Linked DNA regions of Yarrowia lipolytica. The main gene of each other region encodes a partner of the protein of the gene in region 3 in a complex. Links are inferred from orthologs where the notes say so. Each region holds a gene or a part of one and is shown on either strand. Other genes may lie near its edges.

Region 1 (3,180 bases), on a different chromosome or scaffold from region 3:
TCCGCTTTTTTCGATCGTTTTTGACTCTAGACGGGTGTAATCGGTCTTGTAGTGGCCACTGACCTTATCCAGGATCGTCACCAGCTTTTTTTCCATCGTGTTGTGGTTGCGTGTGTGTATGCAGGTTCTGATCAGGTTGGTGATGTTCTCTGGTGGTTGAACTTTGTTGTGGAGCGGTTTTAATATGGGAGTGATACGTGAAAAAAAAAAAAAAAAAAAAAAAAAAAGAAGAGAAAAGAACACGAGCAAACAAAAGCTGTTCAGATGAATGAGGTGTGTTTTTATTGTCGTATCTTTGCTATTATGATCCACAGATATTTTCGTACTGATAACTACACTACCCGCTGGGAAAAAGAGCTGAGTAATGGGACAGAGAGCAGTACGAGTAAAGTACAGTATCTACAGTAGGGTGGTTGTGTTTGCGGTACATTGTTTGTCACAGACGTCCCCAGGTTAACTCCTTCAATGTCATCCAGTGATCACACACTCTCAAATTGTCCCCTACACCCTCTCCCCCACACCCTCAATTATCGAGTTCATCGTTTAACTATATACATATGGGTTTTCATTAGTCTCTCGACTTGTCCTTCTTCTTGTACACCTGAGACCGGGGATACTTGAGCACATAGGAGGCGGTATCCTTGAGCTTGTCGTAATGAGGTCGGTCAATCTTGTTCTTGTAGATAAAGGCCTCGTCGTGAGCAGGCAGAGTGGGAGGCTGCTTCTTGTCCACCAGCGACTCAGCGTCTCGAGTCTTCTTGGCAAAGAAGGATCGCAGCTCGTAGAAGCAGTGCATACACAGAGTGTGCATTCGCTTGACATGTCCACAGGCAGGACATCGGTTGAGGTTAGTCAAGGGCTTGAGGGCCTTTGTGTCAGCGAGGAATCGCTTTCGTTTTTGGCCGTACGACACCTTCTTTTTGGGCACGGCGTACACAATGCCGTGGTCGCAGTCCTCATGCTTATGCTGTTCCAGATCCACCTCTCGGCTGGGGGTCTCCAGATCCAGATCATGCTGGGCTCCTCCGAAAAGACCTCCCAGAAGACCGGGGGCAAGAGTGACGCTCACGGCCACGGGAATCTGGGCGCTGAGAGCAGCCACAAACGGCTTGGTCAGTTGTAGAGCCATTTTGGATCGTGTGTGTTGTGTGATGATCTCAGACTCGAGGTGGTGAATATGGTTGGGAGGATTTTTCAGAGTCACGTGATGGGAACACTGTGGTTACTGGGTTAGGGTTTAAATTTGGAGGACGAAGAGAATGGAGAATATATGTCGATGAGCCGATTCTCGTGATATATAACGCTTGTTTGTTGTCGTTGAGAAGTAGATGATCTCAAGAATCTATTGGTCATCAGTAAGAGACCATAATAAAATAAAAATAGTCGCTCAACCGCAAGTTCGCGTCTGAAAGGCCTCCAGGGACACAAAAACAAGATCAAAAAAGGTGAGATCCCTATATAAACCCCATTTTTATCACCTGGGGACTTTAGGTCGTTCATTACACTTATTTCTGGTTGTATTACTGTGTCTTGTCTTGAGATTAGCTACGACCTCGTCAGTCGCAACAAACAAGACTGATTCTCGCCAATTGCTTAATAATATAAATTGAAATCATTCCTAATCTCATAAACATCACGTGATCGAGTCATTGATCAAATATTATCCTCAGCCCCCTCCAAATCACCCATGTCTGGCACATTTGGCTAATCTCACACATTCCCTCCCGTTACCCGGCCTCCAACTTGAAAATTAAAGTTCAGGGGAAACGCGACACGCATTACATACACCCTATTGTACGTATCACCAACACACATCTGTACCACCACACAACCACTCATAAATGATGTCCACCGAAACCATCACGCCCGGCAGCAAGGTCGGGTTCGACTCCATCACCCAGCAGATTGAGCGACGGCTTCTGAAGCGAGGGTTCCAGTTCAACCTGATGGTTGTGGGCCAGTCTGGTCTCGGAAAGACCACGCTCATCAACACTCTGTTTGCGTCGCAGTTGGCATCTTCTTCTGGACGAACTGAGGCCGGCGAACCCATCACTAAGACCCCCGACATCAAGTGCGTCAGTCATGTGGTTGAGGAGAACGGCGTGCGTCTCAAGCTCAACATCATCGATACCCCTGGTTACGGTGACCAGGTCAACAACGAAAAGTGCTGGGACCCCATCACCAAGTACATCAAGGACCAGCACAGCCAGTACCTTCGAAAGGAGCTGACTGCGCAGCGAGAGAAGCATCTTCCCGACACCCGGGTGCATTGTGTGCTCTTCTTCATCCAGCCCACCGGCCACGGTCTCAAGCCCATCGACATAGTCGTGCTCAAAAAGCTGACTGAGATTGCCAACGTGGTGCCCGTCATCGCCAAGAGCGACTCGCTAACCCTGGCCGAACGACAGGCCTTCAAGGAGACCGTGCAGATGGAATTTGCCCACCACAGACTCAAGCTGTACCCTCTGGACTCGGCCGACTACGACGAGGACGAACAGTATCAAAACGCACAGATCAAGCAGTTTATCCCCTTTGCTGTGGTTGGCTCCGACAAGAACGTTGTTGTGAAGGGCAAGACTGTGCGAGGACGAAAGACCCGGTGGGGTGTTGTTAACGTGGAGGACGAGACTCACTGCGAGTTCCCCTACCTGCGAAACTTCCTCATTTGCTCCCATCTGCAGGATCTCATTGAGACTACCGCCCATGTGCACTACGAGGCGTTCCGATCCAAGCAGCTTCTTGCTCTGAAGGAGAACACCAGCAGTGGTCAGAGTGCTGGCATTTCGCCCGCTGGTGTCCCCAAGCCTCAGCCCCAGCCCCAGCCCCATTCCCAGCATCCCTTTGCTTCCACCGCCGGTGTGCCTGGCAGTGCAGGATCCGCAGGTCCTAACACCAATGGTATCCAGCAGCCCGTTGGGGCTCCCCCAGTGCCCAGTGGCTACTACAAGCGGTAGGACGAATCATGATGTGTGGTAATGTAATATTTTAGGTAGCTTGTTTGCTAATAGTGAATTTATTTGGTGTTATGGAGAGGCCGTTAAGTAGGTGGCGGAAGAGGGTGGATATGCAACATTGAATACGAGGATGGCGAGGGTTACTGGATCGATTGACAGGTGGATCGACATTCTAGACACGATACACGCGTGACTGGAGGAGATATGGTGTATTAGTGATGACAGT
Region 2 (3,151 bases), on a different chromosome or scaffold from region 3:
AGCCGTATAGCCGTATAGAAACAGCACTGCCCTCGTATCCAGCCTTGTTAGCCTGCTTTTTCGACCGGTGCTGAACCCTTTCTGACCCTTTCTGAACCTTTCTGAACCCGTGCTCTCAACCATTCTGAACCTACGCTTTGTCAAAAGAGTGGGGGTTCAAAGTGTGATTTGTGGAGTTGACACTGAGGATAACTACAGAAATCGATAGTAGAGACTTGTTGTGCTCATTGGTGAAATGTGTACCAGTCTTCAGCGACTTTGTTGTCAATGGTGGAATGGTAGAGCCCAGAGTTGTTAGTTGCATAAGCTGACTCAGTCTCTAGTATCAGAAGGCGAGCTATAGCAGCTCTGCATGACTTCCTACAGACTCCTGCTCATCCGGCCACTATTGATATATCGGAGTTCGACTTGTTTCGTACTCCGACTCCCACAGCTCAAGCCAGACCATCTACAATATCCACACTTTACTACTTTGCCAGTATAACGTCTTGTGAGCGAATACCCATGGATAGGACCCGTTCAACCATAGTGCTTCGCACTCTTTGTTTCACTTCCTTAACTATGTACATTACTGCTCAGCAGTCGTCTCACCAGGCACCTTGGCTTCCTTGGCAAGTCGCTTTTCCAGAGACTGGGGGTAGATGGCGTCCCATCGCTTGAGAACGCTATGGTCAGCATTCTCAGGCCAGGACTCAGCGGCTCCTCGTCTCCACAGGTCCTCCCAGTGGATGGTCACGGGCACCTTGACGGCCTCGGTGACGGTCGACAGGTCTGCCAGCGCCTCCTGTGTGTAAACGGGCCGGTACTGGCCGTCCTGCCACACGTTTCCGGCGGCGTTGGTCTTTCTCCACCCCTTGATGTCCTTCTTGCCGTCGTGGGTTCGCTTGTATCGCAGGTACACGAGGCCGTCGTAGGCATCACAAGCAGCCTGGTGGTCGCCGAAATCGGCAACGGCCATGGGCCGCCACAGATCCTGTCGCATGGTGGGCCGCTTGTTCTCCCAGTTGGGGTCCTTGAACTGTCGGTTGAGATGGTGCTCCGTCACGCCGGGGACCTGGGTGTAGGCCACCTGTCCCGTCTGGAGGTGTCGGTAGACGTACACAAACGCGGGCTTACCGTCTCGCTTGAGAGTGGCGGGCGTGTACTTTCGTACGGTGCCCATGGCTTTTGTGTACTGTGCCATTGTTGATGGAGATGATGTTGCAGTGTGAAATTTGTGATCTCCATTAGGGTTTGAGGGAGGTCTGGAGGGAGGGAAAAATTGCAAATGGTTTTCGCGGGATTCGAACTGGCGTTCACGAGGTGACGGTCACGGGATGATCGGTCTAGCTCTTCCCTTCGCTGACTAACGCCCGAAACCAACTCTTCTGACTCAGCTCGGTCTCGGCTCAACAAAGTTGAACTCTGAAATTTGGGGGGACGCGTCTAGCGAGACATCGATCGACCGAAAATGTGCAAGCGAAATAAATCCAAGAAAAGCAGATAATTGGAAAAAAATCAGGGGCAAGGAAGGAACCGACACGGGCCTAGGGATATATGTCACGTGACTACCCCTACTACTCCACCCACCGACACCATTCATACTGTTATACGTCCCCGTCAGAGGGCTTCCTCCTCGGTCTCTTGACATGATCATTCTACTGCTGTTTTTTGACTTCACAAGTATGGTGCCATTAGTGTTTTTCTAGGGTGGTTTTTCTCTGTAGGAGCTTGTCTTAGCTACGCTGTGGCGAAACTTGTGGTACGAGAGTGTAGAAGCAGGCACGGATGACGGGGGGAGGGGCAGTAAAGAGGGCCAAGGTGGCGATTTTTCGGAAATTTGAAGGTTGCCAGGTGGGAAATGGGCGGTCTAGACCCTGGTTTCCGAGCCCAACTTGAACCCCGTCCTCTGTCCATCGCTCCACCTGCCCATCTGATAAGTCTAGAAGGTTATGTGTCTTTGTCACCAAAAATGGCAAGACGTTACAATTAAGAGTTTCCAACTTTGGCGCGTATCTTCCCCTGACCTACGAAAAAAAACGCTACATTTGTACCGACTTGCTCGCCAACAACTCCAGCTACACCGCCAGCTCCAGCGAAATAAACAGCTCCACCCCTTGCGACATGTACAACGGCACCTTCAATCTCGGCCCAATAACGCTGACGGCCCCCAACGTGTCGTCGATACCGCCTCCTATCTACAAACACTCCATTCCACCACTCGTGTCATGGATCTCGGACGAGAATCTCGCGCTGCTGCTGCCCATCATCTGCTACTGGACGTCGGGCATCATGTTCCACATCATCGACCAGTACGAGCTGCTCGAACAGTACCGGATCCACACTCCTGAGGAGGTGACCAAGCGCAACAAGTGCACGTTTGCGGAGGTTGTTCGAGACGTTATCAAGCAACACATGCTCCAGACGGCTCTGGGCCTGCTACTCAACTACTTTGAGGAGCCCAACACGACTGGCCATGAAGCTCACGACATTTGGACGTGGCAGGTTCGGTTTGGAGGACAGACGAGCCCCGCAAAGGCGTGGCTCGCGGCGTTCGCCTACACCTATCTGCTGCCCTTTGTCAAAATCTCCTTTGCCTTCTTCATTCTCGACTCGTGGCAGTACTTTCTGCATCGGGCCATGCACCAGAGCAAATGGTTATACAAAAAGTTCCACTCCAGACACCACAGACTCTATGTGCCCTACGCCATTGGAGCGCTGTACAACACTGCTCTGGAGGGCGTGCTGATGGACTCGTGTGGAGCCGGCCTGGCATACATGGTTTCGGGCCTGACTACCCGAGAAGCCATCTGGTTCTTCTGCTTCTCCACGCTCAAGACTGTCGATGACCACTGCGGCTACTGCATTCCCTGGGACCCGTTCCAGATCTTGTTCCCCAACAATGCCGTGTACCACGACATTCACCATCAGAGCTTTGGCATCAAGACCAACTTTTCGCAGCCCTTCTTCACCTTCTGGGACCGCATTCTCAACACGGAGTACCACGGCACCCGGGGCTACGTGCAGAAGCAGAAGGAGATCACGGCCCAAAAGTACAAGGAGTGGGTTGAGTCTCGAAGCGGCTCTTCGTCCGAGGATGAGAACAAGGCCAAGGCCACCGAGGTGGCTGGCAAGTCGACTGGAGCTTCTACTTCCGAGCAGGTGGTTTCTT
Region 3 (3,802 bases):
AAAGGCATGCCGAGAAGCACAAAGGTGAGAATGTACGCCACCAGAATGTTGGCGCGACGCTCCACGTGCTCCTTGGGTTCCTTGGGGATGAGAACCATGATTGTGTACTTGGTAGTGACACGCTGATGATGGTGTACGTGTATGCGTATGCACTTGACGATGTGAGTTTATTATCGTACCGTGCTGGAGCTGGGGCTAAGTAGAGTTTGAAGTAGAAGGCTAAGTAATATTAGTTGGACGGTGTCGTTGGAGCTTCGATATCTCCAAACATTGCGTGAGCAATGTGTATTTATCATTTGTATTTGTTGGTAAAAGTGGATTTCTGTATATAATGGGATTTGTTCCTAGTCGTTATCTTTTCTGGGGCACAAATAAAGGACCCCCAGCTGACTTGTTAGTCAACAAAATCTAACAAAATAGGCCTTAACTACACTGCACTTTTGCTCTTGTGGATTGGAAAGTATAGTTGCAAAGTAACTGTCAAGTAAAAGTAGTTAACTTGAAATTTCGAAATGAATATATCTCGAAATGTTGTATGACAAACATGTATTGTCTTCGCACATTAGTTGGATACCGAGTGCGCTCTATCTGCTGATGTACTCGTTTCTACACCAGCATGTCTGGAAACGGTATTTTACACCCCCAGTGCACTTTGCTTTCCAACTAATCTCTACTACTGAACCTAACTAAAACTGCCCTACAAGCTGGCAGACACAAGACAACACAAGACAACAAAAGTTGTTATCCAATCTATCATATATACAAATTACGCATCAATGGTAATGGCGGGAGAGTGGAAGGACCGCAGAGTGGTTCGGGCCAGAGACGAGGGCTTGGCGGTGTCTCGGGTCTTTGCAATCTGTTCTCGGACTGCTCGAGACGCCGCAGCAATGTTTTCCACAATCTCTGTGTCGGTAAAGGAAGCGTCTCCGACCTTGATGGAGAGACAGCCGGCAGACTCTCGGAAGGGCATGACTCCGGAGGTGGAGGCGATGATCTCGGCGACATCGTTGCCCACAGTGCCCTTTTTGGCGGAGGGCATCATTCCCTTAGGACCCAGCACTCGGCCGAGTCGGCCCATTTTGCCAATGATTTCGGGTGTGGCATAGCACTTGTTGAAGTCGAGGGGCTGTTTGCCCGACAGCAGGTCATCAATGAGCTCTTGTCCGCCCACCAGAGAAGCTCCGGCCTCCTTAGCAGCCTGGGCCTGGGCCTCGTTGGAGGTGATGACACAGATGGTGTCGCTGCCGATGGCCTTGGGCAGTCGCACGGTGCCCGTGATGCCGTTGGTTCCCTTCTTGGCCACAATAGACCACGACACCACTATCGATGTGGAGGACGAGGGCCAGCCCACCTCCATGGCCCGAATGTACCGCAGAGCCAGGGGGAAGTCCATGAGCAGCGGGTGCGACAGACGGTCTCGGGCCTTTCGCATCTGCTGGGCAAACTTGGCCCGCTCCTTTCGCTGGGTGATCTCTCGCAGTCGTTCCTTTTCTCGTCGGATCACCAGCTCCTTGTAACTGGGCTGGTTGACGGCTCCGGAGGTGTCCTTCTTCTTCTTGCCGAGCGCCACAGCCGAGGTCGACAGCGGCCGCACGCTCTGGGCAACGCCACCGGCCGTCAGCTTGGCCGCGTGTGTGAGTCTGAGCATTTTTTGGTGGTGGTTGGATGTAGTGTGATGTGATGTGGTGAAAAATTAAGCTGTGAAATTTCATCTCGACTTTGGGAGTTTCTCTACAGTTTACAGGAGCGACCAGTGGAGTCAATTTGTGGGGTGTTGGTGGGGTTGAAGCGGCTAGATTGAGTGAGGAAAAGCTGGCTTAAGACGTGGGATTTTCATCTTTTGCTCCACTCCTTCCGGTTTCTCCAGTCTCAGCTCACCCACTTCCTTTTTGCCCAAAAGGATCACTTTTGGATCCCCTACATACACCTTATGAGTGGATGGATGAAAGCGGTGAAAAAAGATGATCTGATACATAAAAGATGATCTGATACTTTGAGGAAGAGGCGACTGGTTTCGGAGGGTACATTTGAAGTTATTCCACCCGTTTGTTTCGTTTCTTTTGCCCCAATCCCGTGGCACATTCTTCTTAGCAGACATTCATTGGTCATCGTACGAGTACAAGGCCAACTTGCCTGATGGATTCATTCTTGGTCAAGAATCCATCGTACTATATTACAAGTACTTGTACGACTACAACTGATACCATAGCTACTGCCATCTTCATTGTCTCATACCAATAATCCTCTTTGCTATATACATTAGTTGTGGTGTCCTTCTAGTGGGTCAGGAACCACCGACCCTTGAGAGTCCGTCGCTTGATAATCTTTCGGCCGGTTCGAGATCGCGATCGGGCCAGAAAGCCAAGAGATCGCTTTCGCTTTCGGACCGAGGGCTGGTAGTCGATACCTCGCACGTATCGTCGCTGGGAGGCGCCGGAAAAGGGCGTGAGGAAGGGCAGAGTGGCGGTAGAGCCCTGGGCGAGCGCGGAGGCGACCCCTGAGGCCGCGGGAATGCACGACGGCACGGAGTTGGGCTGGATCATGGTGGCGGATCGCTGTTTGATAGCGGTCAGAGGGTTCACGTTGCCTCCGAGCGTGGCCATGTTTCGGGCCATGAGGGGTGCGGGTCGGACCACCTTGGTTGCAGCGGCTCTGGTGATGATTCTGAGCATGGCTGGGTTGGGGGCTTGTTGATATGGTACAGTACCGACGGGTTACTTGTCTGGAGTGTTGTGCCGTTCTCTGCTATTAATATATTTGTAGGCACTTTTTCACATATTGTCCCGACTCCCACATTATACCCTAACCCGAATTTCCCCATTCAGCTGCAAGCTCAATTTTATTTGCCTTCACTGCGCACTTGTGGATCACGCTGTTGCAAAAAAAAAAATCCCGTTGGCTTGATCCCGACGTACTAACCGCGCCGCCCCCACCACAACCACCAGCATGTCGTCCTACAAAGCGCCCGGCCCCACGGCCATAGAAGTGCATTCGTCCAAGGCGATCCCCAACGGCGAGGCCGAGGAGATCATCACACAGTACATCGATGCCACCACCGAGAGCACAGACCAGCTGCTGTCCATGTCCAGCGACAGCATGCCGTCGGTCGTGTCGCGAAACCACGCCATGATCCAGCAGCTGCGACGGGTCCAGCGAGACCTGCGGGGCTTGCCTCCGTTGGAGGCTGAAGAGAAGGAGGTGGAGAACAAGGACAAGGGGGATTCCAACACAACCACCGACGGAGGAGATAACGATAACCAGGAGGAGTCTGAGGATTCCGACGACTCTGAAGAGTCTGAGGAGACCAATGAGGACCAGGACCAAGACCAGGAAGAGGCTTAAGAGATGCTGTCGTCCGCCGCTTTGGCTCTACCACACCTTTACTGTCTACTCACCCTCTCCCCCCACCCACCCCCCTGTGTCGACACAGGGTAGCATTATTAATGTACATTAACTATAGAATCAACATGTTTACTTAGAGAGGTGTGTAGTGTAGCTGGAGAGTGGGTCGTTACGGGTTTGGCATATCGGATCTGGTGTAGGGCATTCCCAGGCTGTCGGATCAACTGGCCAGATGTCAATCCCGTTGATATTTTGATAGCTACAGTTTCGGTAGGGGAGTGTATTATGTTGCCCCTGTTCACATAGAATAAATGGGGCGAATTTGCAATCTCAAACGTCCTGGGGATCAGCCCTTTCTCCCCACTTCTTCCCGTCTCCATCCTTGTCTATCGCCCATCATGCAGATCTAACTTCTATCTAAAAAATCTCCTTTCACATTTCACCAACTCGTTTCACA

The links. The genes of interacting proteins can lie anywhere in the genome.
Region 1: YALI1_D15952g (region 3) and YALI1_C29148g share a complex: the UniProt entries of both Saccharomyces cerevisiae proteins name them as parts of the mitochondrial large ribosomal subunit. The link is inferred for Yarrowia lipolytica from reciprocal best matches to the Saccharomyces cerevisiae genes MRPL1 and MRPL32.
Region 2: YALI1_D15952g (region 3) and YALI1_E20635g share a complex: the UniProt entries of both Saccharomyces cerevisiae proteins name them as parts of the mitochondrial large ribosomal subunit. The link is inferred for Yarrowia lipolytica from reciprocal best matches to the Saccharomyces cerevisiae genes MRPL1 and MHR1.

What each region holds. Positions count from the first base shown.
Region 1 is NC_090772.1:2,912,773-2,915,952, reverse strand, and holds YALI1_C29148g (mitochondrial 54S ribosomal protein bL32m), read right to left. Parts: upstream 1,130-3,180; coding exon 569-1,129; downstream 1-568. Other genes in the region: YALI1_C29158g (uncharacterized protein), read right to left, coding at 1-96; YALI1_C29141g (uncharacterized protein), read left to right, coding at 1,842-2,954. UniProt on the Saccharomyces cerevisiae protein: Component of the mitochondrial ribosome (mitoribosome), a dedicated translation machinery responsible for the synthesis of mitochondrial genome-encoded proteins, including at least some of the essential transmembrane subunits of the mitochondrial respiratory chain.
Region 2 is NC_090774.1:2,061,593-2,064,743, reverse strand, and holds YALI1_E20635g (mitochondrial 54S ribosomal protein mL67), read right to left. Parts: upstream 1,184-3,151; coding exon 569-1,183; downstream 1-568. Other genes in the region: YALI1_E20626g (uncharacterized protein), read left to right, coding at 2,104-3,151. UniProt on the Saccharomyces cerevisiae protein: Component of the mitochondrial ribosome (mitoribosome), a dedicated translation machinery responsible for the synthesis of mitochondrial genome-encoded proteins, including at least some of the essential transmembrane subunits of the mitochondrial respiratory chain.
Region 3 is NC_090773.1:1,593,643-1,597,444, forward strand, and holds YALI1_D15952g (mitochondrial 54S ribosomal protein uL1m), read right to left. Parts: upstream 1,652-3,802; coding exon 767-1,651; downstream 1-766. Other genes in the region: YALI1_D15937g (uncharacterized protein), read right to left, coding at 1-98; YALI1_D15963g (mitochondrial 54S ribosomal protein bL34m), read right to left, coding at 2,280-2,675; YALI1_D15965g (uncharacterized protein), read left to right, coding at 2,950-3,345. UniProt on the Saccharomyces cerevisiae protein: Component of the mitochondrial ribosome (mitoribosome), a dedicated translation machinery responsible for the synthesis of mitochondrial genome-encoded proteins, including at least some of the essential transmembrane subunits of the mitochondrial respiratory chain.